4 linked regions of the Rhinolophus ferrumequinum genome follow. The protein of the gene in region 1 interacts with the protein of each later gene in a pairwise test. Links are inferred from orthologs where the notes say so. Each region holds a gene or a part of one and is shown in the gene's direction. Other genes may lie near its edges. The genes, in order: CDR2, PKN1, TXLNA and TCHP.

Evidence for each region.
Region 2: the proteins of CDR2 (region 1) and PKN1 interact in binary tests that used the Homo sapiens proteins (3 or more experiments, as listed by UniProt). The link is inferred for Rhinolophus ferrumequinum from reciprocal best matches to the Homo sapiens genes CDR2 and PKN1.
Region 3: the proteins of CDR2 (region 1) and TXLNA interact in binary tests that used the Homo sapiens proteins (3 or more experiments, as listed by UniProt). The two-hybrid records come from large-scale screens. The link is inferred for Rhinolophus ferrumequinum from reciprocal best matches to the Homo sapiens genes CDR2 and TXLNA.
Region 4: the proteins of CDR2 (region 1) and TCHP interact in binary tests that used the Homo sapiens proteins (3 or more experiments, as listed by UniProt). The two-hybrid records come from large-scale screens. The link is inferred for Rhinolophus ferrumequinum from reciprocal best matches to the Homo sapiens genes CDR2 and TCHP.

What each region holds. Positions count from the first base shown.
Region 1 is NW_022680357.1:16,828,307-16,835,746, reverse strand, and holds the start of CDR2 (cerebellar degeneration-related protein 2), read left to right. Parts: upstream 1-4,428; 5' UTR 4,429-4,731; coding exon 4,732-4,807; intron 4,808-6,524; exon of another isoform or gene 6,525-6,887; intron 6,888-7,015; exon of another isoform or gene 7,016-7,186; intron 7,187-7,440.
Region 2 is NC_046301.1:47,690,832-47,698,230, reverse strand, and holds the start of PKN1 (serine/threonine-protein kinase N1), read left to right. Parts: upstream 1-4,397; 5' UTR 4,398-4,605; coding exon of another isoform or gene 4,606-4,626; intron 4,627-5,623; 5' UTR 5,624-5,631; coding exon 5,632-5,688; intron 5,689-7,399. UniProt on the Homo sapiens protein: PKC-related serine/threonine-protein kinase involved in various processes such as regulation of the intermediate filaments of the actin cytoskeleton, cell migration, tumor cell invasion and transcription regulation.
Region 3 is NC_046292.1:22,081,865-22,089,880, forward strand, and holds the start of TXLNA (alpha-taxilin), read left to right. Parts: upstream 1-5,005; 5' UTR 5,006-5,023; intron 5,024-5,250; exon of another isoform or gene 5,251-5,546; 5' UTR 5,547-5,578; coding exon 5,579-5,756; intron 5,757-6,353; coding exon 6,354-6,716; intron 6,717-8,016. UniProt on the Homo sapiens protein: May be involved in intracellular vesicle traffic and potentially in calcium-dependent exocytosis in neuroendocrine cells.
Region 4 is NC_046308.1:13,785,022-13,793,036, reverse strand, and holds the start of TCHP (trichoplein keratin filament-binding protein), read left to right. Parts: upstream 1-5,002; 5' UTR 5,003-5,162; intron 5,163-6,409; coding exon 6,410-6,603; intron 6,604-7,399; coding exon 7,400-7,610; intron 7,611-8,015. UniProt on the Homo sapiens protein: Tumor suppressor which has the ability to inhibit cell growth and be pro-apoptotic during cell stress. Inhibits cell growth in bladder and prostate cancer cells by a down-regulation of HSPB1 by inhibiting its phosphorylation.

The sequences.
Region 1 (7,440 bases):
CCCAAGGCCATGAACTGAGTGATAGTTTGTGAATACCACGGGATTTCCCGAGACACAGAATATCTTAATAATGAGGCTGCTTGTTCCACGTAAGTGAATTTCCCGAATCACCAAGCTTAGCCTTTAAACTCTAAAGCTTTTATGCGTTAAGTGGCAATCTCTTACAAATCTCCTTGCCCTCCCACAGAGGATCTTGGACGTGGCTAACCTTTTCTTAACACTTAATTCTTCAGCTGTGTGAAGAATCGGCTCTTGGGAAAATCACAACAATGCACAACTGTGAAAGAGAGAAACACTGTCTCAGGTGAAAGGACAGGTAAGGGCTCACCCCACTGGGCGTGGTGAAAAGCCACTTCTGAAATCTTGTACAGATGCAGAAAACGCTCCACGCAGTAGAAGCGGAAGACAGAATTTAGCATTTTAGTCCCTAATGTTATTGTAGAATATGCCCAAGAATGGGATTGGTACTTAAAAGTGGCATTTTCCATGCAGAGGAATTCTTCTTCCTTTTGTTTAAAAAAAAAAAAAAAAAGGAAAATGGTTAAAATTCACTGTTTCCATGCGATGGGTGGCAAAATTCCACTGGACACTAGTTAATTTTAGTTAAATGAGTCCAAATCTCCTCGCTGTGAATATGTAATGATTTAACACTTTACTTTCCTATCTACTCACTCAACACTTTTTGAGATGTTGCCGGGAACTCTAATTTCATAGAGTATGACCGTACGTGAATATATTTTTACTATTTCTTCTAACTTATAAACATGAGATTTATCCAAGAGTTTGGGCACGCTTAACTCGAGGCCAGGGAGATGCACTTATGGCATTATTACCCTCCCTACCTGGGAGAGTGCGCTAGAAAAAAGAACAATGAGGTGACATCCTTTAGCTAAAGCCAAAGAGAAGGAATTGAAGCAAACCCCTCCTGTTAGTATTATAGTATTACATACTTGCATTGGAAGAGTCAGTCTTTTTTTTCTCCTGACAGACTATGTAACTTTGGCCCAAGGGACATACCTAAAATGGACGTAGAAAAAACCCATTTTGATCCTCACTTGATGTAAACGTCCCTCTTAAATCTGGCCTACTGTCTTACCCTTTCAGTGACTTGATTTACCACAGTGGAAAACAGGAAAGGGTTAGCCAAGCTAGAGGTAGGTATAGATTCATCTTCCTTTTAATCTTGATGATAGTTTTAAGATAACGCCATGATTTTCCTGTTTTATCCGGCCGTACTGGAATATTCGGCCAGGTCTCCACAATCTCACTGAATCAGAAAACACAAATATTCAGCTACCTTGAGAGACGTAACTTGCCTAAATGATGCTTGAGAATTAAGCTGACACTGCCGTCTGTATTGCCCAATTTCTTAGGGAAGGAAGGGCACATGAGAGATCAAATTAAGTCCCTGAGCTTCATTTTGCATTGGGAGGATCCAAGAATGATTCCAATTCTATAGGAAGTGGGGCCCTAGAATTGTAAAAGGGGTTGCTAAACCCCTATGCAGACCAAGTATTGTCTGCAGACTGAACACAGAATGTTTTGCCCATGTGTACTTGGATTCTTATAATGTTTGCAGATACTGCTGTAATGAGGGAATACAAATCTGAATGTTTGTGGCTTTTTTTGTCATTATGCTCAAAGCACTTGAAAAATAGAAGTATTATCGTGTGGAAGGCAGCCAACAATTCTCAAATTTGAAAACGCGGGGAACTACTGGTGAAACCCTCACCCTCAAGAGTCATTTTTGGCATACGTGAGATGCAGATTGAGGCTAGAGGTCACTGGGTTACTAAGAGAGCTCAAAACAAGGGAGTCAGAAACACCAGAAGCCAAGATACACATTTAGCCCACCAAAATCTGGACACTTCTTTTCCTTTATTTCAGGCGTGTTAAAACAAGAAGCATGTGCCACGCCTTCTGAATTGCTCTACCATTAAGTCAGAAGGCAGCTATTTATAAAGTCAGAATTTTGCAAAAGGTCAGAAGTTTGCTGAGTTGAGAGCAAATTTTTCAAAAAGAATTTGAGTTAAGCAGGCATCCTGTCTGAAACATATGAATATAAGGTTTTTAAAACATTAAGAAAACATTTGTTTACATACCGGGGATGCCAAAAAAATGTATAAATGTGGACACTGGTCAACGTGGTTCAAGCAGTAGTTTGCTGTCATCAGAAGTGTCTGGACGCTGATGGGAACCACTTTGAGCACCTCTTGCAATTGCAGAAGTCAAACGTGACTTGTATTCTTTTGTTATCGGTATATATTATAATTTTAATAGTTTTCTTAAAATGTATATACATTTTTTTGGCATCCTCTGTATATTGAGAGGAGGAAGCGAACTTTTCCTTATTTCTATCTGCAAAAGAGCTCTCAGTATTTTGCTTTAGATTACTGTCATCATAGTAAATACTTATTTCAGTAAGTGTCACACTGAAAATCACCACTTAAAATTTCTTTAAAAGCCACCACTATTATCTAAAGTCTCTCCTTACACAATTTTAGTATAGCAACAAAACACCCAAGAACCAGAATATTACATCTTTACAACTCGGAACGAAGGACTTCTGGTTCCTTTTTACCACAAACTGTTTTATACAGAGGAGTTTAAAAGTACCCAAATGGTGTCACGATTAGGCTGAGCCAGTGAATTGTTAAACAAAAGCCCAAAGCCTCCTTTTAGAATCAACTTGGGTTGTTCTTCACTGGCCTACTACTAAACCAAATGCTATTAATGTTGCTAAAGAACCTGCTTTGATAACTTCCAAACTATGCCTACTTAGATTCTAAAAGAATGCCAGAGACTCCTCCAAGGTAAGGCTTTCAGCACTGAAAGCTAACATCTCTTTTTCGATGCAATTTTGTTTTTTTTCCAGGGGAAAAAACCTCAAGTTTCCCCAAATAGTGTCCTTAAAAAGAACCCACTTCAAATATATGGTGATGGAAGGAGAACTGACTGCGTGGTGAACACAAAATGGGATTTATAGATGATGTAATACAGAATTGTACACCTGAAATCTATGTAACTTTACTAACAATTGTCACCCCAATAAACTTTAATTAAAAAAAAAAAAAGAACCCACTAATACCGAAAGGCATAAAGCCTGGCTTTTTATTCTGTGCCCTTTTAAATTATCAATGACTTTAATTCTCCAGATCACTCTCTCTGAAGGAAAATATAAAAGAACGTTTCAGTACACTTTCCCATTTGATTTGGAGTCCAAATGAGCTATGTGCCATGGAGAAAAATGCCAGCATTTTCAATCTTGCGCATCAGTGACCAGGGAAGCCAAGTCTCCTGAAGGTCAAATGCATGACGCTCAACCTTTCAGCTTCCGCAAATCACCATCAGCAAATCCTAAATCCAATATCCTCGCTTTCCAAAAAGCTCTGTCTGTGGTGATTTACTTTGAAATTAAGACGGTTTGAAGTTATTTCCTTTTGACTCGGGACCGATACCTGTATCAGGATATGGACAAGCAGGCCATTGGGGCTTTACACTGAACCAAGCTATCTTCGTTTTTAGCCCAGCAATAAAACGTGGATGACTAACATTTTGCCTTTCAGTACACCAGCATTCAGCAGAAAAGAATTTGTGAGTTTACCATTCCTTTTTCTTTTTTATATTCCTCCCACATTTGTTGGCTGGCATTCTACTCTGAGAGAGAGGACTGCATTCGCTTCCCTCCAGGTACAAGGTCATGACCCTAGAGGCATAACTGGTGGTCCATGGACATTTCAAAACTCGCACGCAAAACTGCTCGCAATGTGTTTCTAAGGAGATAGCTTCAACTGCACCCCTTCCCGCTCGCAAGTTCCCCAGTGGGTCTGGAGCCCGCTGTTTTGGGGGAGTTGAGTGCAATTCCCTGCGGGTTGGAGGTGAGAAGGGCGCAGAGGTCAAGGAGAAAACGGCTGGCGGTCCCCACGGCCCGACCAACCCTTAATTTCCGCGCATCAACGAGAGGGCCCCGGGGGGTCCAAAGACCAGAAAGGGTCACAGGGCCGCGCGCCTCGGGCTCCCGGCACCCTTCGCGCCCCGGCCTGCACGAGGGACGCCCAGCGACACCAGCCCAGGCCCGCAGGCCGGACTCCCACCCTCACGCCCACACAACCTGACCACGGGCTGGCTGTCCCCGCGGCCACACACCCACCACAGGCGCCGCGGAGGCCGCCACCTCCACACCCCGGCACTGGAGCGCGCTCCCAGAAGCCACCCAACGCAGGAGAGGGCGGGGCCTCCGGCCGCACCCCTTCCCTTTTCCCCGCCTTCTTTGTTTCCTCCGGAGTGGCCATTGGCTGCTTGCCCACGAGACCGGGCGAACCGCGGGCCTGCGGGAAGACGCCATTGGGCGACGTCGCTGCTCCTCGGCCGGCGACCCGCTCGCGATTGGCGGAGGCGCCGCCCGGGGTTTGAATGCAGCCCCCGTCGGGGAGCTTGCTGCCAAAGTGCCACGTTGGGTGCCGCTGCTGCGCGAGGAGCCGGCTCCGGGCGCCGGCCGGGGTGCTCGCGCCGGGTTGCCGGCCATCGGGGCCGTTGGGCCTCAGGACGCGAGTCAGAAAGCCGGTCCGCGGCAGCGGCGGTGCTCGGGCGGCTCTGGACCGGCGGCGTGGCGGCGCGTCCCGCCCGAGGGCGGCTCTGGCTGAGGACGGAGGAACCGGCGGGGAGCCCGGGGCAGCGGCCGAGGCGGGACGGCGGCAGCGGGCGCCGCTGCCCCCGGGAGAGCCGGCCGAGATGCTGGCGGAAAGCGTGGTGGAGGAGTTCGAGGTGGAGGAAGAGCCGTGGTACGACAATCGGGACCTCCAGCAAGGTGAGAGCGCGGGCGGCCGGCGGGCGGCCAGGCCCCGGAGGCTTCCGGCGGCGAACCTCTTAAAAAGTTGCTTGTGCTCGTGGCCCACGGATGCCAGGTGCGGGCGAAGCGCGGCGTCCACCTGGCGTGGGGACCCGCCGCACCTGCGCGTCCCGCCCCGGAGGCGGGCTCGGCGCGGGCCGAGGCTGCTGCGCAGGTATCGGCAGCATCACGCGTGCGGAGGGCTAGCTCTGCGCCCGCACGGGCTGCAGGGAGTCCTCCCCGCATTGCTCCGCGGCGCGGGTGGGAGTTGCTGCAGGTGGCCGGGGGAGCAGAGCGCTCCGGCAGGACCCGTGCCCAGCCCTGGGCCCACCTGTGATCCGCACAATAGCTCTGCGCGAGGTAGCTTTTGTTAACCCCACTTTCCGGAGGAGGAAAACGGAGGCCAGAGCGGCCAAGTGACTTCCCTTGCGTTAGGAGTGGGAGCGTGTTTGAACCCACACACTCAGAAGGAGGAACCACAGCCGCTACCCAAACCCTGGCTTTTCGTTACCAGCCGCTTTACAGCTTCTTCAGTTGGGTGTTCGACTGTTGGGCGGAAAAATTGCTTCTGCATCCTTCACCTGAGGCCCTGAAATGACTGAAGGGCATTTCTACCTCGACCCCTTCCTTCCCTTAGAAACAGGCACTCCTATCTGAACCTGCCTTGGATTTCTTGCTGATTGATGGTGTCTCTAGAGAAAATCGTTGGACAGTCCTCACTTTGCAGCCTCCCTATAAGGCCCCCCTTTACTGCACATGAGTAGCAGGAGCTTGAAATTGGGGAGCGCTTTTTGGGGGCCACTGACAGGCCCTTTAACACAGCTGCTCATTTAATCTCAACAACTATGGAGGTAGAAAGGAAGATACTGTTATTGGAGCTAGGATCCCACTTCAAACTCCAGAGCAAACTTTCTTAACCACTATTCTGAAGAATCCTCAGGAATTTTTTTTTCAGGCATCTTCCGTTTCTGCAATTCTGTGTACATCGACGTTTTCAACTCTCCACTTGCAGTGACAATTAACATTTCATCTAGTTGAATATTAAATGACCATGATGTTTGTTCATGCTAACCATTGAACTGGGGGGGCGGGAAGGAATGTAAACTTGAATTACTCATATTTAGAAAAGGGAAATAAAACAAGTACATCTTTTGGGGGAAGGTGATTTCTTAAATCAACATGCTGTGTGGACAGTCACTTAAACCAAAGTAGTTCACCATTACGCTTGCTTAAATGGTGTAAGCTACTTAGCAGCTGCAGTGCAGTATTTGCCATCACATTTTCCATGTCCACAAGACACATTTGTCTTACATTTTAACAAGCCTGTTTTCAGTTTGATATTTTCTCTAGGATTAATGTGAGAACCACTGTACAACTGCAACATTTCCTTATAACAAATTAAGCAGTTCGTATGGTCATAGCTAAATATTTTTCTTTCCTGCATTTAAGAAACATAGATCTGTACAGGCTTGTTTTGTTTTTGAATCTGGTGGAATCCTTGGCACATAACAGAAGCTTGATTTTAATATTTGTTGACCTGAACTGAAGCACTCGCAGAGGGTTACTGTTTTCATTGCTCTCTTCTATCAGGTCCCTCAGTCCACAAGGCATTTGCCCTGTGGGAAGTTGTTAGGAAGATTCATTTGTAATGTTTCAATCTACTGAGAAGCAAATGCAACTTGTTGGGGTTACTAACCTCTGGGCAAAAGGAAGTCATCAGGTGTTCAACTTCAATGAGATCTTAACGAACACGGGTCCAAACCTCCTTAATGCCAGTTTGCGTTTGGAATTTGTTCTGTGTTTCTTCTCAAAGGACTTTTACGTCCGTATCACGATGGACTTTGACATAACTCTCTATGTCATAACCAAGTGTGTCGGGTAGGAATAGACTGGAAATTCCACACAAACAGTTTGCATTTGGAATTTGTTCTGTGCTTCTTCTCAAAGGACTTTTCCATCCATATCACGATGGACTTAGACATAACGCTCTATGTCATAACCAAGTGTGTTGGGTAGGAATAGACAGGAAATTCCAACAATCATAACTTGTGAATAAGGCCTGTAAAAGAAAGAAGGATACAGTGTGAATAAAAGGATGATCTTTGTCCCAATTTTGTTAAATTGTGTCTTAAAGAACTCCTAAACTTCTAACGGATTTTAAAATTTGTTAATTTCTCAAATACTTACCAACTCTATGCCAGGTACAGATCCAGGCCCTGGGGCCACAGTCCCTACCCACAGATAGGACAGGCAGGATCCCACAGCAAAGTGAAATGGAGGGTCTAGGAATCTGTTGACGAGAGAGGCCTAGAGACGCTGCCTCCTGGTCTGTGCCCACCTCTGCCTGGCACATGGTAGGCCCTCAATAGATATTTGTTGCTGAATAAAGTTTGGGAGCAGCAGGTCTGCCCTCTTAAATATTTCGATAAGCAAATTAGTGGGATTTTATCAAGTGCAGACAGACATCTGTTCATTTTTAACATCCTCACAGGCATATGCCTCATTTTAGTGCATTTGCTTTGTTCTATTGCGCCTTAGAGGTGGTGGGCTTATTTTTGGTGGTGGTTTTTTGTTTTTAAATGGAAGGCAAGACTCTCCACCAGCAAAAAGAT
Region 2 (7,399 bases), on another chromosome or scaffold:
CACCCTGGGATACCACTAGAAATAAAAAGGAATAAGCTAATGATATACACGACATGATGGACAAATCTCAAAAACATCATGTTCATTGTGAATTACTAAAAATCACTAGATGGCACACTTAAGAAGAGTGATTTATATGGTATGTGAATTTTATTTCAATAGAAGACAAAACATGTTGAAAGAATCCAGACATGAAAAATCCAGACATAAAATCATAAAATGATTCCATGCAGTGTGAAATTCAAGAAGAGGCAAAATTAATCTATGGTGATATGGTAGAATCCAAAGGACAAGGTAGCCTGAGAAAGGACACAAGTAAAATTTACGTAGCTGGGGAGTAGACTAGGTCATGGCCACGGGTGTATTGCTCGTATATAAAAATTCACGGAGCCTCACACCAAAATATCTGTGTACTTTACCATAGGTAAACTGTACCTCAATCAAAATAATAATTAAAATAAAAGACATAACACATTATAGTTAAAGTGGAAATCACCTGTGTTCACCTCCCCAACTCCATTCCCCTCCCAAATCGCATAAACATCCTCAATAAAAATGAGATTGAACAATGACAGCACCCCAATTCTGTGATTTATAAGAATTCATTTAAGCTTCTCAGCAACCGTCTGAGGCATCGTGTTTCCCCGAAAATAAGACCTAGCCAGACCATCAGCTCTTCTGCGTCTTTTGGAGCAAAAATTAATATAAGACCCAGTCTTATTTTATAAAATAATTTTTGCTCCAAAAGACGCAGTAAAGCTGATGGTCCGGCTAGGTCTTATTTTCAGGGAAACACGGTAGGTGCTGCTATTATCATCCCCTTTTACAGATGAAGAAACTGAGGCACAGAGCAGTGAAGTAACTGGGTCTGGGTCTCACTGTTAGTGTGTGGTAGTGCCAGGATTTGAACCCAGGTAGCCTGACCCTCCTCAGCCGGGATGCCAGGCACACTACAATCACACTACTCCATACATTACCACAGACTTGATAGTTTCACATTCTGTGTTTTTTTTTTAGTAATTGATATCAACAGTTTCAAACTGTATCATTTTTTCTACTTGCTTTTTTATCCTACTCAAGGAGGTGTTTTTGACTCTGTTGACACATTTAGTTCTGGTGTCAGATAAATCTACTCCCATTTCTTTCTTTGGCCCCTACTGGTGGAGACTTGGTTTGCAAAGAGCTTTATGTTTGGAAAAACAATCCTCTTTCAGTTTCTCCCCTGCTAAGAATCTATCAGTGGCTCCCACAGTTCTCAGGGTCAAGTCTGAACTCCATATCCACCATCTGCAACATCTGGAGCCTGCCCTCCATTCCAGGTTCATCAGCACCAGAAACCCTAGCCATGCCCTATGATGCCAGGTTTATTCACCCATTTGTTCATCCAGCCGCTCTTTATTGAGCATCTTTTCTGTACTAGGAGCCAGAGACCCAGCAGTAAACAAGACAGATAATGATCCCTAGCCTCTGGGAGCTGACACCTTCCTGGTCAAGACAAATCAGAAAGAAAATACTAGAGTCAAATTTGCAACAAAAATCAAGTTATGCCAGGGGTAGCGTTTGGTAGGGAGGGTAGGGCTTGTTTTAGGTGGAGATGCAGTCAGGGAAGACATTTGAGTAAACATAGAAATGAACGGAGGAAGAGAATGCCAAGATGAGGAGAAGTATTGCAGAAATGGCCAGCATAAAGGCCTTGAGGCAGGAATAAGCATGTTTGAGGAGCAGTGAAGAGGCTGTGAGGCCAGAGAGGAGTGAGTGAGGGGTGATGAGGGCAGAGGAATCAGGACATGCCAGGTTCTCCCTCACCTCTAGGCCTTTGCTTCTGCTGTTCCTTCCACCAGACGCCCTTTTCCTCTTTACCCACTTTGAAAATTCCCAATTTGTCTTTCACAACTTAACTTCATTGCCATCCTTTCTGCCTCCTCCACAGTAGGGTGGCTGCCTCCTCAAAGCCACCACAGGCCTGGAATACCTTTCTCCTGACATCTTACACTGTGTCCACTCACTCATTCCACAAAGACTGAACGAGCATAGGCCAGACACTGGGCAATTTCAGAAAGTTACATTTAAAATAAATAAAACAGGGCCACGAGCCAGATATGACAGGGCATGGAGGTATTCTGGGAAGTTCTCAGAGGAGGGGACATTTAAACAGAAATCTAAATGATAAAGAAAGGCCAGCCTTGAGGATGTGATGGAAGGGCATTCCAAACCAGGGAACAGCCAGTGCAAAGGCCCTGAGTTTGGAAGGTAAGAATATTTGGGGAAGAGAGAGAAGGCCAGTGTTGCTGAATGGCGGTGTGTTGGTGAGGGGTGTGGTGGGGATGTGGCTGGACAGGTAGGCAGAGAGCTGACAGGACCACCTTGTAGCCCAGGTGAGGGTTCGGAAGTTTTTCCTAAGAGCTCCAGCCAGCTGGGAACAGGTTTTCCAGCAGGTAGAGGTAGGAGACGGGGTATGATTTAGGGTTTCCAAGGCCCCAGAGCAGATTGGAGAGGAGCCAGAGCAGCTGCAGTTATCATATCTGGTTGAAATTGTACAATTAGTCCTTCGTCTCCAAGTTTCAAGCCTGGAGGGTGACTCTGTTTCCAGTGCCACCAATGTCCCCAGCGGGCATTGATAAATAGTCGCTGAGTAAACGAATGCCGGAAGGTTGGAGTGAGAATTTGGCAGGTGTCCCCAGCTCCATCCGGGAAGGCAGCCTGGAACCTGGCAGGCAGCAGAGGGCCCATCCCTGGACTGGGTGGCCCAGTCTTGGGCTGGCTCAGATCCTTACTCTGCCACATCCTCCCATCTGTAAAATGGGTAAGGCTAGAATTAGAGGAAGACACCCTATTCCTCAGGGCAAGGGCCATAAACATCCTGGCTCCATAACTGGGATTAGGGTATTTTCTTTGAGCCTCAGTTTCCTCACCTGTAAATTTGGAGCAAAAGAACTCTGTCAAAAGGGTTATTTCATTGAATCTATAAATATTCAAGGAACAGCCAGGAGGCCAATGTGGCTGGAGGAAGTGAGCAAGTAAGTGGGAGGTGGGAGGAGAGGGGAAAGTTGAAGGGGGTCGTGCTTAGGACTTTGGCTTTTACTCTGAAGGTGTGAGCCATAGAGGATTCTAGGCAGAGGAGGGATGTGAGTTGACACAGGTGTTCACAGGGGCACTTGGCCTGTTGTGGGGGAAAACAGACTATGAGGCTGAAGGCAGAGCTGAAAGACTTGGGAGGAGGCGACTGCACTGGTCCAGGTGAAGGAAGACTGCAATTGGATCCCGTGGGGGCCTTGGGAGGGGAGAGAAATGGGCAGATTCTGGATTGGTATAATTTCTCCTTCTCCTTCTCTTTATTTCTCTGTTAACCCCCTCCACCAAGAGTCGCACAAAGGAAAAAGGGAAAGAGAAAACATCGTGCCCTGGTCTCTGGGACAACGCAAACCACGCACAGCCATGAGACACCAAGGAACCCGCAGCTCCCTGCACTTTGGTGGATCCCAGGAGGGCGCCAGAGTGCAGGCAACGCCGCAAGGGAGCGCTTCCCGCCCCGCGCCCCAGGGACTGCGGTTTGGTCCAGTCACCCGCTTGAAAGGGAGTCTTGAGGTGGGCCACGAGCCAAGCTGCACACTCCAGAGACTCTCGGAGACCCTTGAGAGGCCTCCACCCTCTGCCTCCGCATTTATGGAGCAGGAGTCTGCATTTATGGAGCACTATTTGCATACAGCAGCCCAAAGAAGAGGCTGATCCCCATTTTACAGCGAGGAAAACTGAGGCTCAGCAGCCACAGGATCCATGTGGCCCACAGCGAGTCAGTGATGGAGTTGCTATTCAACCTCCTTTTCATAACGGCAATAATAAAAATGACAGCTAACACTGATCGAGCGCTTACCGTATCGAGCACTAGGTCTGCAGTATCTTATTTTATCAACACTTGAGGGGTGAGCAGGTAAATTCTGTTTCATAGACGAGGCGCTCTTAGGGGTTTGGGGCTCCCCCCAAGGCATGAGGCGCTGGGATTTGAACCCAGATCTACCCAGAGCTTGTCTATAGGCAATGGGGAAGTTCCCGTGCCCTTTAACCCGGGTCCCGTAGGCCGAATGGGTCTAGAGGGCCTGAGTTTCCAAATACAGAGAGAGAAATTGGTTTTTGAGGGGTCCCAGGAGGCCCAAATGCCTCCGCTACTCCCTGCTTTAACCGGGCTCACTCTTTTCGGGTTCCCGCGCTCTCAATTGGGGTACCTCTGTACAGAGTGCGGATCCAGAAGGGCGCGGGGAGCAAACGAGGTACTGGTGGCTGCGGAGAGGGGCCGCCCGGCAGGCGGGACCCCGCAGCCCCGGGGGCCGCTGGGAGACCCGCCCCTTGGCCCCGCCCCCTCCCCGGGCGCCGACCTCGGCGGTCACGTGACGGGCCCGGCGGCCGCTGGGGCCGGAGGGCGAGGCGCGCGGGCGCGGCGGCCAGGCCAGGCAGGGTCGGAGCCTAGCAGGCCGGAGCGGCCCGCACGCCGGGCCTGGGTCTCGCCGTGCCCGCCCCCTTCCCTCCCTCCACGCCCCACACGGGGCGCACGCGCGCTCCTCCAGCCGCCCCTCCCTCCGCGCGGGGACCCCTGGCGGGTGGCGAGAGGACATGGCCAGCGACGCTGTGCAGGTAGGTGCACCTGCGTCCGCAAAGCTCCATGGCCGCCCGTCACCGGGGAACCCCGCCCGCGCGCTTCTGGGGTCCCCAGACGCCAGGGCGGGGGGGGGGCCTCCGGAGCGCCCTGTACTCCTTCCCGGGGCCGGCACCGTGGAGCCCCAGCACGGCCCACTTCTCGGCAGGTGGAGGTACTCACGGTGGGGAGCGGGGAGGTCCCGGAATCCCCCGAGCACCATGAAGCTCCGCCCCTCCCCGACAATTCGGGGGGACGCAGCGGAGGCGCGACTTCGGGTCTCTGAGGCTGGTTGTGCGTCCCGGTGCCTGTTGCCCCCGACACTCGCCCCCCCCTCAGCGTTCGGTTCCCGGCAGGTGCCGTTCCACCTGGTGCAGGTGCCTGGCACGGTGCCTCAGGAGGCGAGGAGGCCGCCCGGCCCGTGCCCTTCCCCCGCACAACAAAGCTCCAGCGGTCCCCGCCTCCAGACTGAGCTTTATGAGGGTCGACGCCACCCAGATTGGCACCTGTTGGCGGAAATGCCCGAGTCACCTCATTAGGTCTGGGGACGGGGGATCCACACGGCCACCCTCCGGGCTGTCAGGTGGAACCCGATCCCAGTTGGGGAGTGTCTGGGTCAATAGGCTGGGGATTCTCTCGGCCCTGGAATCCTACCTGGGCATGGGTGGCACGCGGGGTCAGCCCCTTCTCCCCCATACACATACACATACACAGGTACAGGTGACTGGTGCAAACCTGCCGCCCAGCCAGATTCTCCCTGTGCCACCTTGTGGACATTACAGTCCTAAACTCATCTCCCCTGGCTATGACAAGCAGGGCTAGGGTGACTTCTGACCTTTGGTTCAGTGACCCAAATCTGATACCTGTCCTGTGCCCACTTAGTACCTCACTATCCCTCCATTGTCCTGTGGTGCTGTGTAACCGGGATCTCATCTCCTTCTGCACCTGCTCTCCATCCCCTCTGTCTCCCCCATGTCCCCCTGTACCCCACCCCAGTCCTGCTGATGGCCTGCCAGCCTTGCCGAGGAGCTGGGCGTATCTGGTGTTGCAGATCACACAAGGTCAGACCTTGGGGCTGGGGAGGGCCAGGGTTCCTTTCTCTCCCCCCAGTCATGGGAGGGCTTTGTAGGAATCCCCCAGTGCATGCATGTGCTTGGTATGTACCAGACCTGACCCTGATGGAGGCTGTGATTCCTGGAACGAGGCTGGACCTGTGCCCTGGTTTTCCTTCCTATCTCTTACCCTCTTCCCTCCCTTCTCCCGTCCTGGTTATTCCTTTCTTGTGGCTGCTTGGGCTTGCCACTCTGTCCCTCTGTCCCAACGTGTGCCTGTCTGTTCTGTGTCCGGCAAGCGGATGTCCTGTCCAGATTCCGGAAACGCCCAAAGCATTGAAATCTCCGGACATGGGGGTCTAGATCCCTGGCTGCACTTGGAAACGGGGGTTTCTGGGAGGTGGGCCCTCTGAACCTGGGTCTCCTGCTCCACAGTGAGAGGTGGCGGGGAGCAGGGATTCTCCAAGGCTGGACCAGGCCTCTGATTCATAGGTTCATCCTGCTGGCCCACTGGTGACCTCTGCCCCCTGGGTAGGAGTGAGTCACTCCAGGGAGGAAAACCCAGGAGGCCAGGCTTCCCTCCATCCTGTGTTCGGCATATTCTCAGGCCTCAGCTGCTAGAGATGCAGCCGAAGGCGCCTGCTCCTCCTCTCTGCCTGGACCCCCATTTGAGCTGGCCCTGCTCCTGGCTGTACACCCCTGCTCTGCCTGCTGGGGACGGGGTGGGCCTGGGCAGTGGGCAGGGCCTGGTTGGGAGCGAGTAGTATTAGAAGACCCTGGGTTTAAATTCTAGCGCTGTCACTTCCTCACTGTGTGTCCTGGGCCCGGTGCCTTTGCCTCTCTGAGCCTCAGTTCTGACAGCAAAAAAATGGGACTAAGAGGGTGTTCATGGTCGTGAGGATGTAGACCCGGCAAGTGCTCTGCAGGCAGGACTGCCATGAAATCTTTACTGGTGGTCATGGTCAGCAGCCTAGGGTGTGAGTTTGTGTCCTTCAACCCAGGGTTTCTCCACACTATTGACATTCAGGGCTGAATCATTCTTTGAGGTGGGGACTGTCCTGTGCACTGTAGATTTTTGAGCAGCATCCCTGGTCTCAACCCACTAGATGCCAATAGCACCCCCTCCCCACCCCCAGTTGTGACAACAAAAAATATTTCTTTATCTTGCCAAATGTCCCCAGAGGTGAGCAGGTGTTGAAAATTGCTTATTTTTCCTCTCTGAGTCTCAGTTTCCTCACCTGTAAAGTAGGGGAGAATAATGGCAACTGCTCAACATTAAAGTAAGGGGTTGGTAGGATTGGGGGAGGTGAGGCCCTTGGCCTGCAGTAAACCCTCCCTGGGGGCAGCTGCCCTCAAGGTTGGTCAGGAGCAAGGAAGACTTACTTCATCTGTGAAATGGGTTCTTGCAATTTGAGGAGAGGGCCTGACAACCTAGCCTGCACTTGGATTCTGGGCACTCCTGTTTAAATCCTGGTTCTGCTTCTTGCTGGCTGTAGGACCTTGGGGCAAGTTATGACACTGTTCTGGGCCTCAGTTTCCTCATCTTGAAAATGGGGTGATAATAGCACTCGCCTCGTGGACTTAATTAGTTGACCTGGATGCAGTTTGGAGTAACTGCTGTTATTACTAGTCATACTTGAGCTTTAGAGGGCTGCTAGTTTGCTGGTCTCCAGTGCTGTGGGTCATGGTGTGGGTCTCAGGGAGGTCCCTAACCCAGCCT
Region 3 (8,016 bases), on another chromosome or scaffold:
AAGGGCTTTCTGGTAGATTTCTGAATGCTGTTACAGGGATGCAGGGGCTGCCAGCCTGCTATAGGGAATAGCCTGATAAGATGTTTTTGAATCTTCATATGTTGGCACAGGGCTAGTATATCCATTTTAAGATCTGTGGTGGGAGTGGAGGTATCTAGGTGTGGATTAAGGGGACAAGGAGCCTTTTTCTTAGCTAAAGTGTTCAACTACTGTTTTAAACAGTGCCAGCTATTCTTTTTTGCCAGTCTCTCTGGGCATCTCATCCCTAAATCATCTCCTTCAATACTAACAGGGTCTCTGGTCTTAGAAGCCTGCCTTCATTTCTGAGCTCTCCCCAGTGATTGCCTGGCCTTGGTGTTGGCTGCACCTTCTGGTAGAACCACATGGGTACCACCCTCAGCTGGCTATCCTGGATACTTGGGGCATTGGGTACAAATGATCCTTTCAAGAAGCAGGTATTGATGACCTCAGCTTTCAGGGACCCTTGATGGTCCCCCTTAGCTAGGACCTTTAGATCTACTCCTTCTACTCTCTTTGCGCTGGAAGCCACTTTCCAGGAGCCCAATTTTTGGAGCTGAACTGCACAGATTGTAGCTCCTATTATACTTAGTCAGGGAGAGCAAAAGAAGGCGCTCAGGCACAGACTTTATTTCTTTCAAGCCAAACCAGCTTAAAATGAAAACCGTCTACAGAATGAAATGGATTTCCATTTTCTTGTGTCTACCTGCTTCCCCCCCTGTATCCTAGAGTTACTCCTGTTTCTAGCAAACTAGTAAGGGAAGGGCATAAATGCCTAGCAATACTTCCCTCATTCCATATAACCCCCTTTGAATGCCTCAGCTCGTATGTTCAGGCCACATCTCTTCTCCTCAAGACTCAACTTGGTATCCATCATCTTGGGTGTTCCTCTGTAGATTCATCTTGTAGGCTCAGATTCTGGATTCTCCAGGTCCCTATAGGCACTACAGGGACCCGGAGGGAAAGCAGGCTGGCTGGGGGCCTCAGGAATGTGTGTTACTGTCTGCCTCCCTGGCAGTCTGGGAAAGGGTGCAAGGCTCAGTGCACTGAACCATAGGAAATGCTCATAAGCAATGGCAACATCTTCCAGGTAGGACTATCCTAGAAGTGAGTGTGAGACTGAGAAATCGCTCAGAGTTAGGTTTCTTCCACAGCCGTTTTAGGATTCTAGACCAATCTTGTTCAGTATTTTTTCTGTGTCTTAACTTTTGGATTCTTTTGTTAAGCCAACAAGCTGAGAACTAGCTGCTCTTTGGCCAAGGCCTTTATAAATGATTCAGTCATCCGGTTGTCTACCCCCCAACCCCACCTCCAGATTAAGACCATAGCACGGGAAGAATTTGAGGTCAGTACCAACCAAGTCTGTGAATTAAAGCTGTTACTTTTCCTCAGAGGGCATTTTGCATCATGCCTGGGCTATTTACAGAACCAAAACTAGGTATGAGAGAAGAGGCAGCATTAAATTTGGGGCCCAGAACACCCCAAGACAAAGGTTTGTGTAGTGTGTTATAAAGGTCTTCAGTGAGTTTGGGCCTACCTCGCTACTTCTGGGCCAGCCTGACTGATGTCCATATTAGCACATACCTGAACCCCTCAGCTAAATGCTAGCCCTGCTCCCACGTGTAGGTCAGATTTTCAGCCCCTGGGTTTGGGAAAAGCAAATCCTGCCATGCCCTGGGGGCAGTGAAGGAAGTCAAAGGTCATATCCGGAGACTGGCTGGGAACCTCTGACTCAGAATGGCCTTAAAGAGTCCACCTCTCTGAGAACCCTCAAGCCTTGTAGTTGGGTATGGGCTCTTTTAGCCCACTTTTGGGGGAATTGCCTTTGACTGAACCACTAAAGCAAAGGGGATAGGAGGTCCCAGCCACCCAATACAAACCAGATGTCCCTCAAAAATAGCTTGGGTTTCCAGCTACCGATCTTAGGAAGGTGAATCAAACCAATTTTCCTCACTGGTTTTTCTTTGCAGTTCATTTGCTCTTAGTTTTCCAAGAACTATAAACTCTGACTATTTTCCAAGTTCTCAGGGCCCCTGGGTAGACAGACAAAGCTTGATTTCAGAGCAGACATAGGCCAAGAAACCGAGGCATTGAGTGTGCTGAGTCCAGACAAATGATATTTATATACACATCCAAATTTGAAGAGAAAATGTTATTTCTTTAGGTTTCAAACACTGTAATAGATATAAAGCAAAAATAAAAACCTGTTGCAAAGTTCTAAAGCGTCGTCTCTGGAATGATCCTAGACTGGACTTTTCGGAAGTGAACAAAGAAAGTGTTTAAACTTGGGGCCTAACAGTGGAATGAGGAATTGCAACAGCCTGCTCCTGCTATAAAGACATCTTTAAAAATCACCTTTATTGAAATACAATGACATACAGTAAATGGCACATATTTAAAATGTGCAGTTTGGTAAGTTTTGACATATACCCATGAAATCATCACAATTAAGATAGTGAACATATCCATCTAGAAGTTTCTGCATGCCCCTTAGGAATTTCTCCTCCTCACCCAACCCCCAGCAACTACTGATCTGAGTTCTGTTTAGTTTGTATTTTCTAGAGTTTTTTCTAAAGGATTTGACATCATTTCATCACCACTCCACAGCCCTTTGAGCCCTTGAAGGTCATACAGCTCACAGACTACTCACTTTGGTTTAGGTCAATTCCTAAAGCAGAGATTACAGACAAGCAGCCAAAAAGCTGACTCAACATAAAAGGAGGATTTTGGTTGGCAGACAGTGTGTTTTAAGTATTAATTCACTGCCAACATTTTAAGAAATAAAGATATATCCTGAAAAATATCTGGCACTACTGGGCTTGAGTTTCTGCTTGAAAACAATCTGTAAGAGGTCTGTTTTACCATCATCACCACCATTCCCAATGGTGTCCCTGACTAGTTGACTGGCAGGTGCTAATACTGTTGCTATTTTATAGCAAAAGTAGAAATTGACTTTTTAACCCATGTTTATCAAATTGTTACTGCTTGCCTGCCTGCTCCACTCTTTACCCAGCTGGCCCCTGTAGGGCCACTGTTGATCCTTCTTGTTACACTACCCCTCCAAGCGTACCTTGTTCTTGCTTATTACGTTCTTTATCTCTGCCTAGAACACCTTCCTATGGAAATCCATCAAGGCTTGATTTGTATGTTACCTCAACAGATTTCCAACATGCTTTTCTGGAAATAAATCAGGCCTTGGTTTCGTGAGACTTGGATTCCAAACTTTTCTGGCCTTGAGTTTCACCATTATACCAAATTGCCTCTCAATGTTACCTGGTAAAAGGTGAATTTGTGCTGCCTAAGGAAAGGGGGAAGAGCACTACTCTGGTATCTCTAATTGGGAAAAATACTTAACATCTTAAGAGCCCTAAAACAATGCTGAGTTTGCACAATTAAAACATTCTCTTCCCTCACCCCCAAAACCCTAGGCTTTAGGATGAGAGAATTTAGCCAACAGTCAGAGGTTCATTGATTTGTAAGCAAATAATTTCAACACTTTACTAATGCTGTAATAGAACTCTAACCAGTAATAAGGAGCTAGGACAGGCTGCAGAGCATAGGGCAGGCTCTAAAGAGACCTTTGAGCTGGGCCTCAAAAGATTTTGTTTTTGCCATAAGGGCATTTTGGAAGCTGGAATAGCACCTGCAAAATCCTGGGAAATGCAGGCAATAGTGAAAGTATTTCTAGAGCAAAAAACAGGCAGAGGGAATGGGCAGGATTGTCTGGAAACAAGCCAAACTATGTAGGCATTAAATCCCAAGCACATGGGTTGTTGGTTTTTATTCCATTATCTATAGGCAATTCGATAAAGAATTGGGATCTCGCATTTGAAAAATTTGGCTTGTTTCCCCTTTAGCTCCAGTGCAACAGAGACTCTGTAGAGAGTAGGCCAGTGATAAAAAGGGCTCAGGAATCTGCTAAGGCTAAACTTGCCCTTGCAGGGCCCCCTCAGCCCCTGCCCAAGAGGGGCTCATGCTGGTAATGAAGAGGGGAAAAAAATACAACCCACTTTAACAAGTTGCCTTGACTTATCCTCAGAGAAAGTGTGTCATGATGGTTATTTCTTCTGGGTAAGAGGCCGGGTAGGTCCAGTAGTTAAGATGGGTGCTGGTGCCAGACTTCCTGCTCTAACCACTGTTAGCAGCTGTAAAATGGAAATAAGACATAGTACTTACCTTGATGAGTACTTAGGATCAAGATAGTAGATACAGCAGTGGCCAGTTAGCTCAGTTTGTTAGAGCGCAATGCTCTTAATGACAAGGTTTCAGGTTCGATCCCCACATGGGCCACTAACCTGCGCCCTCCACAACTAGACTGAAAGAACTACTTGACTTGGAGCTGATGGGTCCTGGAAAAACACACTTAAAATAAATTTTAAAAGTTTAAAAAAAATGTAGATACCGGGAAAGCACACCTTAAGCGTTCAAAGAACTGCTGTTGTTATTAAAAGCTTCTATTTGAACGTGGAAATCGAGGTTCTGGGAGAGAAAAGAATGTCCCGCAAATCAGTGATGAAGTTAGGACTGCAATACAGGTCTCCAGGTTCCCAGCCCAGAATTCTGGCGGGAAGGGTTGGAGGCGTGCAAGAAACAACAGCCAGGAGTAAACCTTTCGGAGCTGAATCATAGCTTCTGCGCGACAGAAAGGAGATTGACGTGGGTACGTATACAGAATGACTGGCTCCTTTCGAACCTGAGTATCCGGCTCCTAGGACTAAAGCCCTTTATATTGCATCTTGGGAGTTGGAGTCAGCCCTGCTGCATAAAGGGACTTGTAGTCCTTTCCCTCCCCCGCTTTCCCAACTCACCCGCCTCAGGGGCCCCTTCGCTATATCTTTCCCAGCAAGCCTCGCGAGAGTGCCGGCTATTGATTGGCTGCGGCGAGCAGGCAGCTCTGCCGGCAGCGGTTACCCAGGGTTTCCGGTGTGAGGCCAGAGCGGGCGAAGCTGTGCGGACGGCGTTGGGGTGGGTACCGCGGCGCCTAGCGGGACCAGGCGATCAGCGGGTCTGTAGACCTGGGCGCTTTCGGCCAGTGAGGGGAATCACACAGACTCCGCGCGAGGGCGAGGGCCGGGGAACAGCTAAGGCCTGTGCGCATGCGCCGGCGGGCGGTTCGCGCGCGGCCGGAGAGCGCGCGGGGTGTGGGTGGCTGTGCGCGCGCGGAGCCGGGAGGAGGGGGGTGCCCACGTGGGGCCTAGGGCGCAGAGGAGGGAACCGGAATCGAGCGTCCCGCCACGTCAGTCTGCGGCGGGGAGCCTATCCCGCGCTCCGCCTGTGGTGAGGTGGACGCGTTGTGCCGGGAAGAGGCTTCAAGAAAAAGGAGGCCTCCCCTGGAGCAGCTCCTCAAAAACCTGCCAGGGCACCCCAGGCTCCCCTGACTGGCCAGAGACAGGGAGAACCGTTGACTCCCTCTGGTGAACGCCAGCCAGTTTGTTTATAGGAAGCTTTGTGCACCCGGTGTTGGGATTTCTGATCCAGGCTGAGAAGAATTTTGAAGTCTGGAAAATAGCAAGTGTCTTGTTTTATAGGATCTGCTCCTCACCTAGCATTGCGAGCCACAATGAAGAATCAAGACAAAAAGAACGGGGCTGCCAAGCCAGCAGGCAGCACTTCCAACCCAAAAAGCAACCCAGGGCAAGCGGAAGCCGGACCAGAGGGAGCCCCGGGGCTGCCCAGCCAGGCAGCCTGTGCAACAGAAACTGAAGGTGCCACCAGCCAGACTCCAGGGAAGACGGAGGGTGTGTGCCAGCTCTCGGTTTCCAGCGGGGAGGGAGAGGAGTTTGTGGTGCGGCCAGTGTAGCTGCTGGAGTTAGAGGCCACTGTTGACTCAGAAAGAAGGAAGTGGAATGAGGGGACCACAGTGCTGAGTCTCTGGGATCCCCAGTGTCCTGGGGAGTTGGGAGAGCCTTCCACTCTTAAGCGCAGACACAGAACTCTTTCGAGGCGGCTCTGACAGGATTAAATCGGGTGGCAAGCAGATGAAACACCCAGCCAGCACATCCAGATTAGAAACACCTCATTCACCAGTGGGTAACTGCTTTCTATACTTGAGGCATTTCTGGAAGGTTTTTAGTAGCAAGAAGTGACTTTTTCGGGGAAGAGAAGATGACCTAGACATTGAGCTCCTGCTACATGCCATCTGCATGTGCTGAATGTTTTACTTGGTTTCTTTTATACTCGTAACAGACATGGTTGGGTGGTAGTGAGAAGTAGTCATATCATTTTATAGGTAAATAAACTGCGGCTTAAAGAAGTTAGGCAACATTTCACCCAAACCAGTAAGTTTGGGCCTGAAAAACGCAACCAGTGGTGTAACCATCTTATTTCTCACTCAGCCCCTTCATCCTCTGCTGCTTTAGGAGTACAAGCCAAAACCTCTCCGTCTGGGGCCCTCCGTGATGTCTCTGAGGAGCTGAGCCGCCAGTTGGAGGACATCCTGAGTACATACTGTGTGGACAACAATCAGGGGGGCCCAGGTGAGAATGGGGCACAGGGTGAGCCTGCTGAACCCGAAGATGCAGACAAGTCCCGCACCTATGCCTCGAGGAATGGGGAGCCTGAGCCAGAGACCCCAGTAGTCAATGGTGAGAAGGAGACCTGCAAGGGAGAGCCAGGCACAGACGAGATCCGGGCAAGTGATGAGGTTGGAGACCGAGACCACCGAAGGCCACAAGAAAAGAAGAAAGCCAAGGGTCTGGGTGAGCAGAGGGAAGCTACTCGTGATGCTGTTGAGGGGAGGGAGTTTGGACCCGAGATTCCCTGGGCTAGCCTACTCTGCTAGGATGCAGAGGAAACTACTTCCCAGGGCTTAATCAGTGCCAGGGCTGTAGGGCCATAGCATAGAGGTGTGCAGGTGGTTCACTGCACAAGGGCTTCTGGCCTTGGGAGCAAGTGGGAACCGAAATTCAATCTGCTGGGTGGACTCCTGTGCCAGCCAGCCAGCCTGCACGGTTTCTAACCTGTTGTGTTGGGCAAGGCCTTTCTCCTCTCCAGTCCTTTGTTGTCACAGTAGAGAATTGGGCTAGACCAGGGTTGAAAACACAAACAAGCCAAGTTAGTCAGGGGCCTCGTGAGGACGAAGAGAGTGCCTCCTTCATCCAAAGGGTTGACTGTCACCTGGTCCCAGCAAGTTGATAGCATGTAAAACTACAGCCTAATTCTAGCCAGAGTCCCAGCCCCCTTTTTTTTAAGCTAGAAATCTAGAATTACACGCAACTAATATGCTAGGAATCAAACAAAACCCATCTGTGGGTTGGATTTGGCCTGTGTGCTAGTGATTTGCAGTCTCCACATTGGTCTCTTGGAGCCTCCTAGGGCTGCCACTTCAGAAGCCTGGTGCTGTGCTATGTACGGTGGCTCTCTAGGGAGGCAAGGAAGATTCTGACTCAGGCACAGGCAGTGCAGGAGAGTCTTGGCTGAAGGTGGGAATGGGGGCGGCTAGTGTGTGTTAAAAAATCAAAGTCCGGTGGTATTATACCCTTAGCCCCTACTCCCGTATCCCCTAACTGTCATCCTAACTTAAACAAGGTTATTTTGTTTGTTTTTAATCTTAGGATCAAATATCGGGAGGTACATTCATTTTAAAGTTCACTGTTTTGCTACCTCTGTTGGTGAGAGTTTAGTAGTCCTCAAGGAAACCTTTTCCTTTTTGCATCCTTCCTCTATCAGAAGGGCCCTCTTTGCATTGAAACAGTAACACTGAATTCACAGGTGGCCACCTTTTTCTCACCTGTTGGAAGAGCAGGCAGTTTTGCGTTTTTTGTTTCTCCCACTCCTGGTGCTCACCAAGGAGATTCCACAGAGATTCAACCATTTATTTAATAAGTATTTGTTGAGCGTGTCCTCCGTGCTGGGCACCAGAGCAAGTACTGGGCCACAATAATAGGCAGAACTGAGTTGGTCCCAGCCCTCATGAAGCACACAGATTAGCAGGGAAGGCAGCCAGTTCAACAGACAGAAATATAAAGTGTGATAGGGGAGGGCTGCCTCAAGGCAGAA
Region 4 (8,015 bases), on another chromosome or scaffold:
AACGCTGTTAATAACAAACTGGTACTGTTATCCTTATTGTACAGATGAGAAAACTGAAGCTCAGATATGAAATAATTTGGAGCTAAACGGAGGTTCCTTTCTTCATATCAGGCTGGCCTTGAAAGATAATATGAATACCAAAAAAAGTTAGTGCCATTCCATCAGATAAATATATTCCAGCAGTTGGAAGCAGGCTGAGCTACATGAGGACTCTGAATGGAAGGTTCTAGAACAGAATTCCATTGTCCAGCTTCCTCTGTATATAGAAGCAGGCCTGTCAGAATAAGGTCTGAAGAGCTCACCTGATTTACAGAAGAGGCTCCAATGAAGGTGCAGTGGGAGGTCCCAGCCACACACTGGAAGAGGGCCGGCTTACCTGTACAAGTTTCTTTCAAGGTGATGACCTCCACATTGGGACAGATGAGGTGAGTGCCATAGGCCAGGAGTGCTTGGAGGGATGCCACAGCGTCCAGGTGGAAAAAAACAAAAACAAATAAAACCGAATGACAAGAACTAAAAGTTAATCACGACGAAGGGCATGTCCCCCTTTTCTCCAGTGGTAGATAAAACAGTGACCTCCAAAGATGTCGGCCTCCTAATCCCAGAACCTGTGAATATATTACCTGACATGGTAAAAGGGGTTTTGCAGATGTGATTAAGGTTAAAAACCCAGAGATGGAGATGTTAACCTGAGTTATCCAGTTGGGTGCATGAATCCTTAAAAGTGGAGAAGCTTTCCCCATCTGTGGTCCAAGCAGATGTGACTAACTAAGGAAGAACGGTCAGAGGGAGCCTCAAAAAGCCCCAAAGGCAAAGAAACCGATTCTCCAGAGAGTCTCCAGAAAGGAATGCAGCCCTGCTGACACCTTGGACTGAACCCCTTGAGACCCAAGTCAGGTTTCTGTCCTACAGAAGTACATAATGTACACAGGGTGTTCTTAATGGGAAATTGGTGCAAAGTATATGGGACCTCTCTGTACTACCTTTGCAATTTTTTCTTTGAATGTAAAGCGAGTCTAAAATAAAACATTAATTTAAAAATACAGATGCCCAGGCCCCATCCCTGACCAATTAAATCAGAACCTCTATCTTGGGGACCAAGCATCAGGATGTTTTAGAAGCCCTCTAGGTGATTCAGACCTGCAGCCAGGCTTGAGAGCCACGCATGCATTGAAGGCACCTGGCAAAGTATAAAACCTGATGGAAATGCAGGTTGTGATGATTGATCAACAAGGCACTATTTTTCTTTTTAATGACACAAGTAACAGTGACCATCGCAAAATTAAAACCCGAGAGAGAGATAAAAATTAAAATCTCCCCTAATCCTGCCCCTTAGTAATAGCCACTATTTTGGTGACTGCCTTTTCACACTTGTTTCTCATGGAATACCTACATTTCTTATAATTCCTGATATTATTACTATGAAAACACAAAATTGGAGCTCTGAGAGGCAGCCCCATACCCCCAGGGTCTTTGAACTCGTCTGTCTACTTCTGCATTCTTTGTCTTCGGGGAGGGTAGGAGCCCCACCCAGGGGAGAAGGCTGGTGTTGAAACGCTATGTAAACCCAGCAGAGATGAATGCACCTTGGTGATGCCACCTGCTAATTAAGTGAGGGCATTGCACAGCCTCCGGTGCTGTCACATTTCAGTTAATGGGGAGTTGCTCCGTGTTATCATGCCATCTCCCCATTCCTGTTTTCTCCTCCCACACTAGGACACCCAAAGATACAAGTCCAAAAACAGACCCTCATAAATGTGTGCGGGCCCAGGGCCCAGTGTGCACAGCGTCCACCTGGATGGTTTCCTGCCAGTGCTTCCTCCCTCAGCCCCCTGTGGGCCTTTGTCATCAACCTGTCACTAAATATTTAATCTTGCTGAACTCTTTATATGTCCCATCTGGTCCACGTCTAGGGGCCTCTTTTAAGAGCTACACCTGCAAGCCACACGCTCCTGGAAAAGCAGAGAGAGGAGAGAGTCACAAGCTCCGGAGGATGGGTGTGAATCCTGCTCTTGTAGTCCTTGCTGTGTGACCTCAAGAGAGTCGCTTGACCTCCCAGTGTCTCAGTTTCCTCATCTGCAAAATGGAGGCAGAAATCTCCACAGGGCGGAGGGAGCGTTGGCACGTGGTCAGTAGTCAAACAATGTTAGTTCCTTGTTGTCATTCTTTTTTATTTCTTTCAATACCATCTCTTCCTTTTTCTTTTGGAGAAGGAGGAGAGGGACTCAAAGGTGGAGGAATCTACTCATTCATTCTCAACAAATATTTATTGAGTGCCTACTCTGTGGCAGGCGCTGGGACAACAGCAGGGAAGGTAATGATCCCTTATGCTGCCGAGAGGGCCCAGCCCTCAGATGAGACCTGGGTTTAAATCTTGGCTCTGCCACCTACAAGTTGTGGTTCCTTGGGCAGGTGATACCACCCATCCGAGGCTCGGTTTAAGCAACTCGGAAATGGGGACAATAAAATATCTCACAGCGTTCCTGAGAGGAACAAAGGAAAAGATACCTGTAAAGATGATTGACGACTCTCTTCCAGTCCCAGGGGCTTCGGCAGCAGCCGCGCGCTTCAGTGCAGACATGGCCAAGTCCAAGAACCACACCAAGTACAACCAGTCCCGAGAATGGCACAGAAGCAGCATTAAGAAACCCTGATCACAAAGATACGAATCTCTGAAGGGGTGGGCTCCAAGTTCCTGAGGAACATGCGCTTTGCCAGAAAGCACAACAAGAAGGGCCTGAAGAAGACGCAGACCACCAACACCAAGGCCGTGAGTGCACTGGCTGAGGCTTCAAGGCCCTCGTAAAGCCCGACGAGGTCAAGCCCAAGATCCCAAAGGGCGGCAGCCGCAAGCTCAGTCGACTTGCCTACATCGCCCACCCCATGCTTGGGAACCGTGCTTGTGCCTGCATCGCCAAGGGTCTTGGGCTCTGACGGCCAAAATCCAAGGCCAAGGTTCAAACCAAGGCCCCCGGCCGTGGCTGCAGCTGCAGCTCCACCTCCAGCTCAGGCTCCGGCTCCCAAAGGTACCCAGGCTCCCATGAAGACTGCAGAGTAGAAGCGTCTGACTGCTGATATGAGGACGAAAGGACTGGTGGGACCCCTGCGCTGCTGTCTGCATGGGGCTGGTGTCCTCCTGTGCTATTTGTACAAATAAACCTGAAGCAGGATCTGTAAAAAAAAAAAAAAACCACACACACAACAACAACAAGATGCTTGATGAGCTACAGGCAGCTGTGTAATCATAAGGTGAGAAGTTGAACAGTGGGGGGCCAGTAATGATGGCCATCCAGCAGAAGAGGCTCAGAGGCTATGGCCTGCAGCCTTGGGCTTCTAGGACCAGGCCAGTCAAGCCCTAGGCACTTGACTCCCACCAGTGGAGCATGTTTGGTCCTTTAAGGCCATTATACAGATTAAGAAACTGAGGCCCAGAGAGGAGAAGGGCATCACGCAAGAGTTGCAAAATCAGGACCTGAAGCCAGGTCTCTCCTGACCCAATTCACATATTTCTGAAGTTCCTACCACACTTGGGGAATCCCACCAATGATTATTTATGTATTGGGCTCTCTTGGTGGGTGGGCAGCTCTGCCTGGGCTGATCCCAGGGGAGGGGTGGCTGCCTCCCCTGCCCATTGGGGACACAATATGAAAAAGTGGAGGTGAGTTTAGCCAAAGGGGTAGGGACCATTAGGAGGGTAACTCTGGGGAGTCTCATGCACTCAGGGCAGACCCTGAGAAAACATGTGCCACGTAAAGGGAGATGGGAAAGAAAGTGCGCTTACCTGAGATGCACCAGGTGCTCTGCTTCTGGGCGCTCGCTCTCCATTTAAACCTTCATTTCCTCTCACAAGGGCAACCCTAGAAAGCAACACTGTTGGTACCTTGTTAAAAAGTAAACTGAGGCACATAAACATTTTCAAGAGTTTATTTGAGCATACATCAATTCAACCTGGGCAACACCCAAAGGTGGTTAGGAGCTAGAGGAGAGGTGTTTATAGAGAAGAAGAAACAGGAAAAAAGCAAGGACATTATTTGATTGGCTTGTTTAAGCAGTTGCCTTATTTGGGAAAGCTTATTTGGCTGGTTGTGATTGGTTGTTCTTAAATTTAATTTTCTTGGATTCGAGAGCACGGATTCTGGCTTTGCTTTTAGTTTGCCTGCATAAGCAACAGAGGCATTAGAGCCACCGCCATCGAATGGTCCCCTTGTTTAATTAATTTAGCATTCTTATTTCACAAATGAGGATGCTGAGAAATGACATGACCTACACAAGACCTCTATACAACTACTGTGGTAGAGGTTGAACAGAGGCCAGCCATGACGTTCAACAGGATACTATACTGCATTCAGGAAAAACAGAGAAAGGGAAAGAAAAAATGAAGAGAAGAATGGGAAAGTGAAAGAAAAGAGAATGAATGAAAGAGTGGACATTTTTCATTATCTTTTTAATGGAATAGTTGAGACATAAAATAATACATGTAACACATGTGAGTCATAAAATATACTGATAGAATGAACACGAACCTACAACCCATCTAACACAGTAGGAAGTTACCAGTAATTTGTACCTACTTACACCAGGGGTTCTTGCAGTTGGTTGCACATTGAACACTCCTGGGGAGCTTAGGCAACCACTAATGCTCTCAGAGAGACTGACGCGATTTGCTTCGAGTTTGGGCTGGGCTTCTGGACTTTTTTTAAGGCATCTGGATTTTTAAGTCCTCCCCAGGTGATTCTAACGTGCAGCCAGGTTTGAGAACCACTGGCTTATATTCTCCTCCCCTCCTGTATCCCCCTGACTCCCTCCATCCTTATGTTTATCCACCCCAGATGACCACCATCCTGAATTTTGTGTAGTGAATGGCTTCTTCTTCCTTCATCCTTCGCTTCCAGGACAAGCGATATTTGCGATTTACCTCCCGCCCACCACGAGGGGGCGCCAGAGAAAAAAAAGCAGCTTCCTTTCTGTGCCATCGGGGTCGCGCTGGAGTCGGCTTGGCCCTGGCGGCGTTCCGTCGCCGTCCTGTCGCTCGGGCGACGAGCAGGGAAACGGCGGGCTTGGGTTAGCGCGGCCCGGGAGGGTGGCCGCGGGACAAGCGGGCTTGGTTGTGGCATGCGGGAGCTCGGGCCGGGCGCTCTGCGGACTTCGGGGCGTAGAGAAACGTGAGTCGGAGCTGAGGCTGAGCCGGGGGCCGGTCTTCCTGTCTTCCCTCTGCCTCACCGCGCTCTGAGTCCCGTCTCTTTCCTCTGTGACCCCTCGTCCTGTGTGGATGTTGAGGCCGCGAGAGGGATACGACTTGTTCAGGGAGCAGCCCAGCTTGCTTGTGGCCGATCCGGGACCGGAATCTTAAATTTCTTAACTCCTGGTGCAAAGATTTCTCCACGGGCAGCTTGCAGGGCAAGGAAAAAAGCATGTCAAGCCTTCCAGCCTCAAGACAGATTATAAAGAGGCCAGCCGCAGACTAAACTTGGCTCACAGACGCAGATTATTTCCCCCAGGTCTGGATGACTCTGAATTTGAGATTGGCCTGGACCCAGGTCTTCTGCTTATTCAACAGACGTTCCTTAAGCACTGTCATAGCCTGGCACTGGGTAGACCCTAAACACGGGGGCGGGAGGGGGCAGCTTTTGGGTCGGGGAAAAGAAGTCCGGAGTGAGACCACTCTGCTTTCAAGTCTCCAGTTGTGTCCCCAGATTGCTATGTGACCTGGGAAAATCAACTCCTCTCTGGGTCACAGTTTCTCCGTATGTAAGATGAGGGATCTGCCCTTCATGCCAACCCAGAACACTTCCAGGTGTGACACCAGGACTAGGTCCCTCCCTGGGGGCGGCCAAAGCCAGGGAATGCCTCTTGCAATCATCAGAGCTTGGACCCTGCGTGGTTTAGGATCCCCCCTTTCTTATTTCCTCTACTTCCTGGTTTTGTGGTCTTGGGCAAGTCACATTACCTCTTTGAACTTAAGTTTCCTCCCCTGCCAAATAATGGAGTGATTGTAATAAAAAAGGTCATATATATCAAGAGCTTGGTACATATGTTCCTTAAATTATTATCCGTTACTTTATGCAGAGCATACAAACCCCCAATGTGCCTGGTCTCCATTGCTAGGACTGGTTCTGTCTGTCTGTCTGCAGTGCCCTTGATGACGTACGACACACAGCCAGGTGCAGTCCAGGCTTATTTAAAACCGATGATTTGCAGCCCTGATGGCAAATCATTAAAACAGGGCTGATGTCTGGGGCCTACGTTCAGACTTGCTGGATTTCATTGGTTTGGAGTGGGGCCGAGGTTCCGTCAGGTGATTCCAGTGTGTAGCCCAGGGGTGAGGACTTCTTCCTAAAGGGGGGAGGCCAAGCTTGTGAGGGGTCCTGGGGTGGCAGCCGGCTCATTTTCCTACCATTGCCGTTCTCAGATGGCACTGCCCACGCTGCCCTCCTACTGGTGCAGCCGGAGGCTCCTGGACCAGCAGGTAGCACGACAGCGGCACCAAGAGCAGCAGGCGCGGCTTCGGCAGCAGTGGGATGAGAACAGCCGCTACTTCAGGATGTCTGACATCTGCAGCTCCAAACAGGCAGAATGGAGCTCCAAGACGTCCTACCAGCGGAGGTAACGGTGCGGTGCGGGGGCCGCGACTGCATGGGAGCAGGCAGCCGCTTGCCGCTCAGGGAATGTGGCCTTAAGGACCTGGGGGAGTCTGGCTTGACAGCATGTTTTCTCGAAGGAGTTGCTGGACAGCATGGATTGCCTGTCTGGTGATGCTTTTCTAACTGGAAATTGAAAAACTGAGCACCAGTGCAGTACTCCATTTGCACTGAAAAAGAAAATGATCAGAAATGTATATAGAATCTGGAAATCTTGTAACCCCACGTCCCCAGAGGGAACCACAGTTACCAGCCTGATGCATATCCTCCCACACTTTTTCTCATTTGTGTTTGTGTATAAACAGACGCACACACACACACCCATTTTTATAAAAAGATGTGTAAAAATATGGGAGTTAAAAGCAGAGGCTTTGGAGTCAGACAGACCTAGATGGAAATTCTGTGTCACTTGCCGCATGAATGAGCCTCAGTTTCCTCATCAGTAAAGTGGGGCTGAAACAGAACCTACTTTGTAGGATTTACGTGATGATTCATATAAAACCATTCATGGTTTTAGTTGGTACAAATAATATTCTCTAGTACATGATCACTATAAGCGATTATACGTTTTCTTATTGCAAAAGCAAGGTTCTGTTATGCATGGTGTTCTGTGACCTGCTCTGTTCCCTTTGGCTGGAAGACCTTTTCCTGTGTCACTATGTTATATTATACCCACCTCAGCCTCTTTACCCACACAGCAGAGCAGACTGGTCCATATGACTGTCGTGTGACTGATTTATGGTGGGCTCCTTCTCACCCAGCATGCATGCCTACCAGCGTGAGAAGATGAAGGAGGAGAAGAGGAAGCATCTGGAGGCCAGACGGGAGAAACTCCAGCAGCTTCTGCTGGAGGAGCAGGACCTGCTGGCCAGAGAACTGGAGGAGCTAAGGCTGAGCATGAACTTGCGGGAAAGAAGAATCCGGGAACGGCACGGGAATCTCAAGTCAGCCCGGGAAGAGCAAAGGAAACTGGTAAGTTCTCATCGCCCTTAGGAGCGTTCCCCAGCCTGTCAGTGACACACACATGTGGGTCACCCCGGAACGCTCTGGTCTGATGAGACAGCAGTTAACTGCAAAACCAGCTGGGAAAACTGCTTAGTCTGAAGTCATTCTTCACGTGTGTGTTTTGCAGGAGTCATCTTTATTCTCTGTGGCCCTTTAAATCATTACAGCCAAGTCCTTTTTCTTTAGCCCAGGACTGCTATATTTTATCTTCCAGAGTGGTGGTGTGGAATGGCGAACCCCAGTCTGTGTTTTTAAGCCTGCTGTACATTGTGAAATAGATCTGTAGCATCCGATTTTGCCCCGTTTCTGTCACCATTGTAAGCGTCATTTGTCAGTGCCATCCGGTCCCACGCAGGTGTCTGGCTCCCAGGC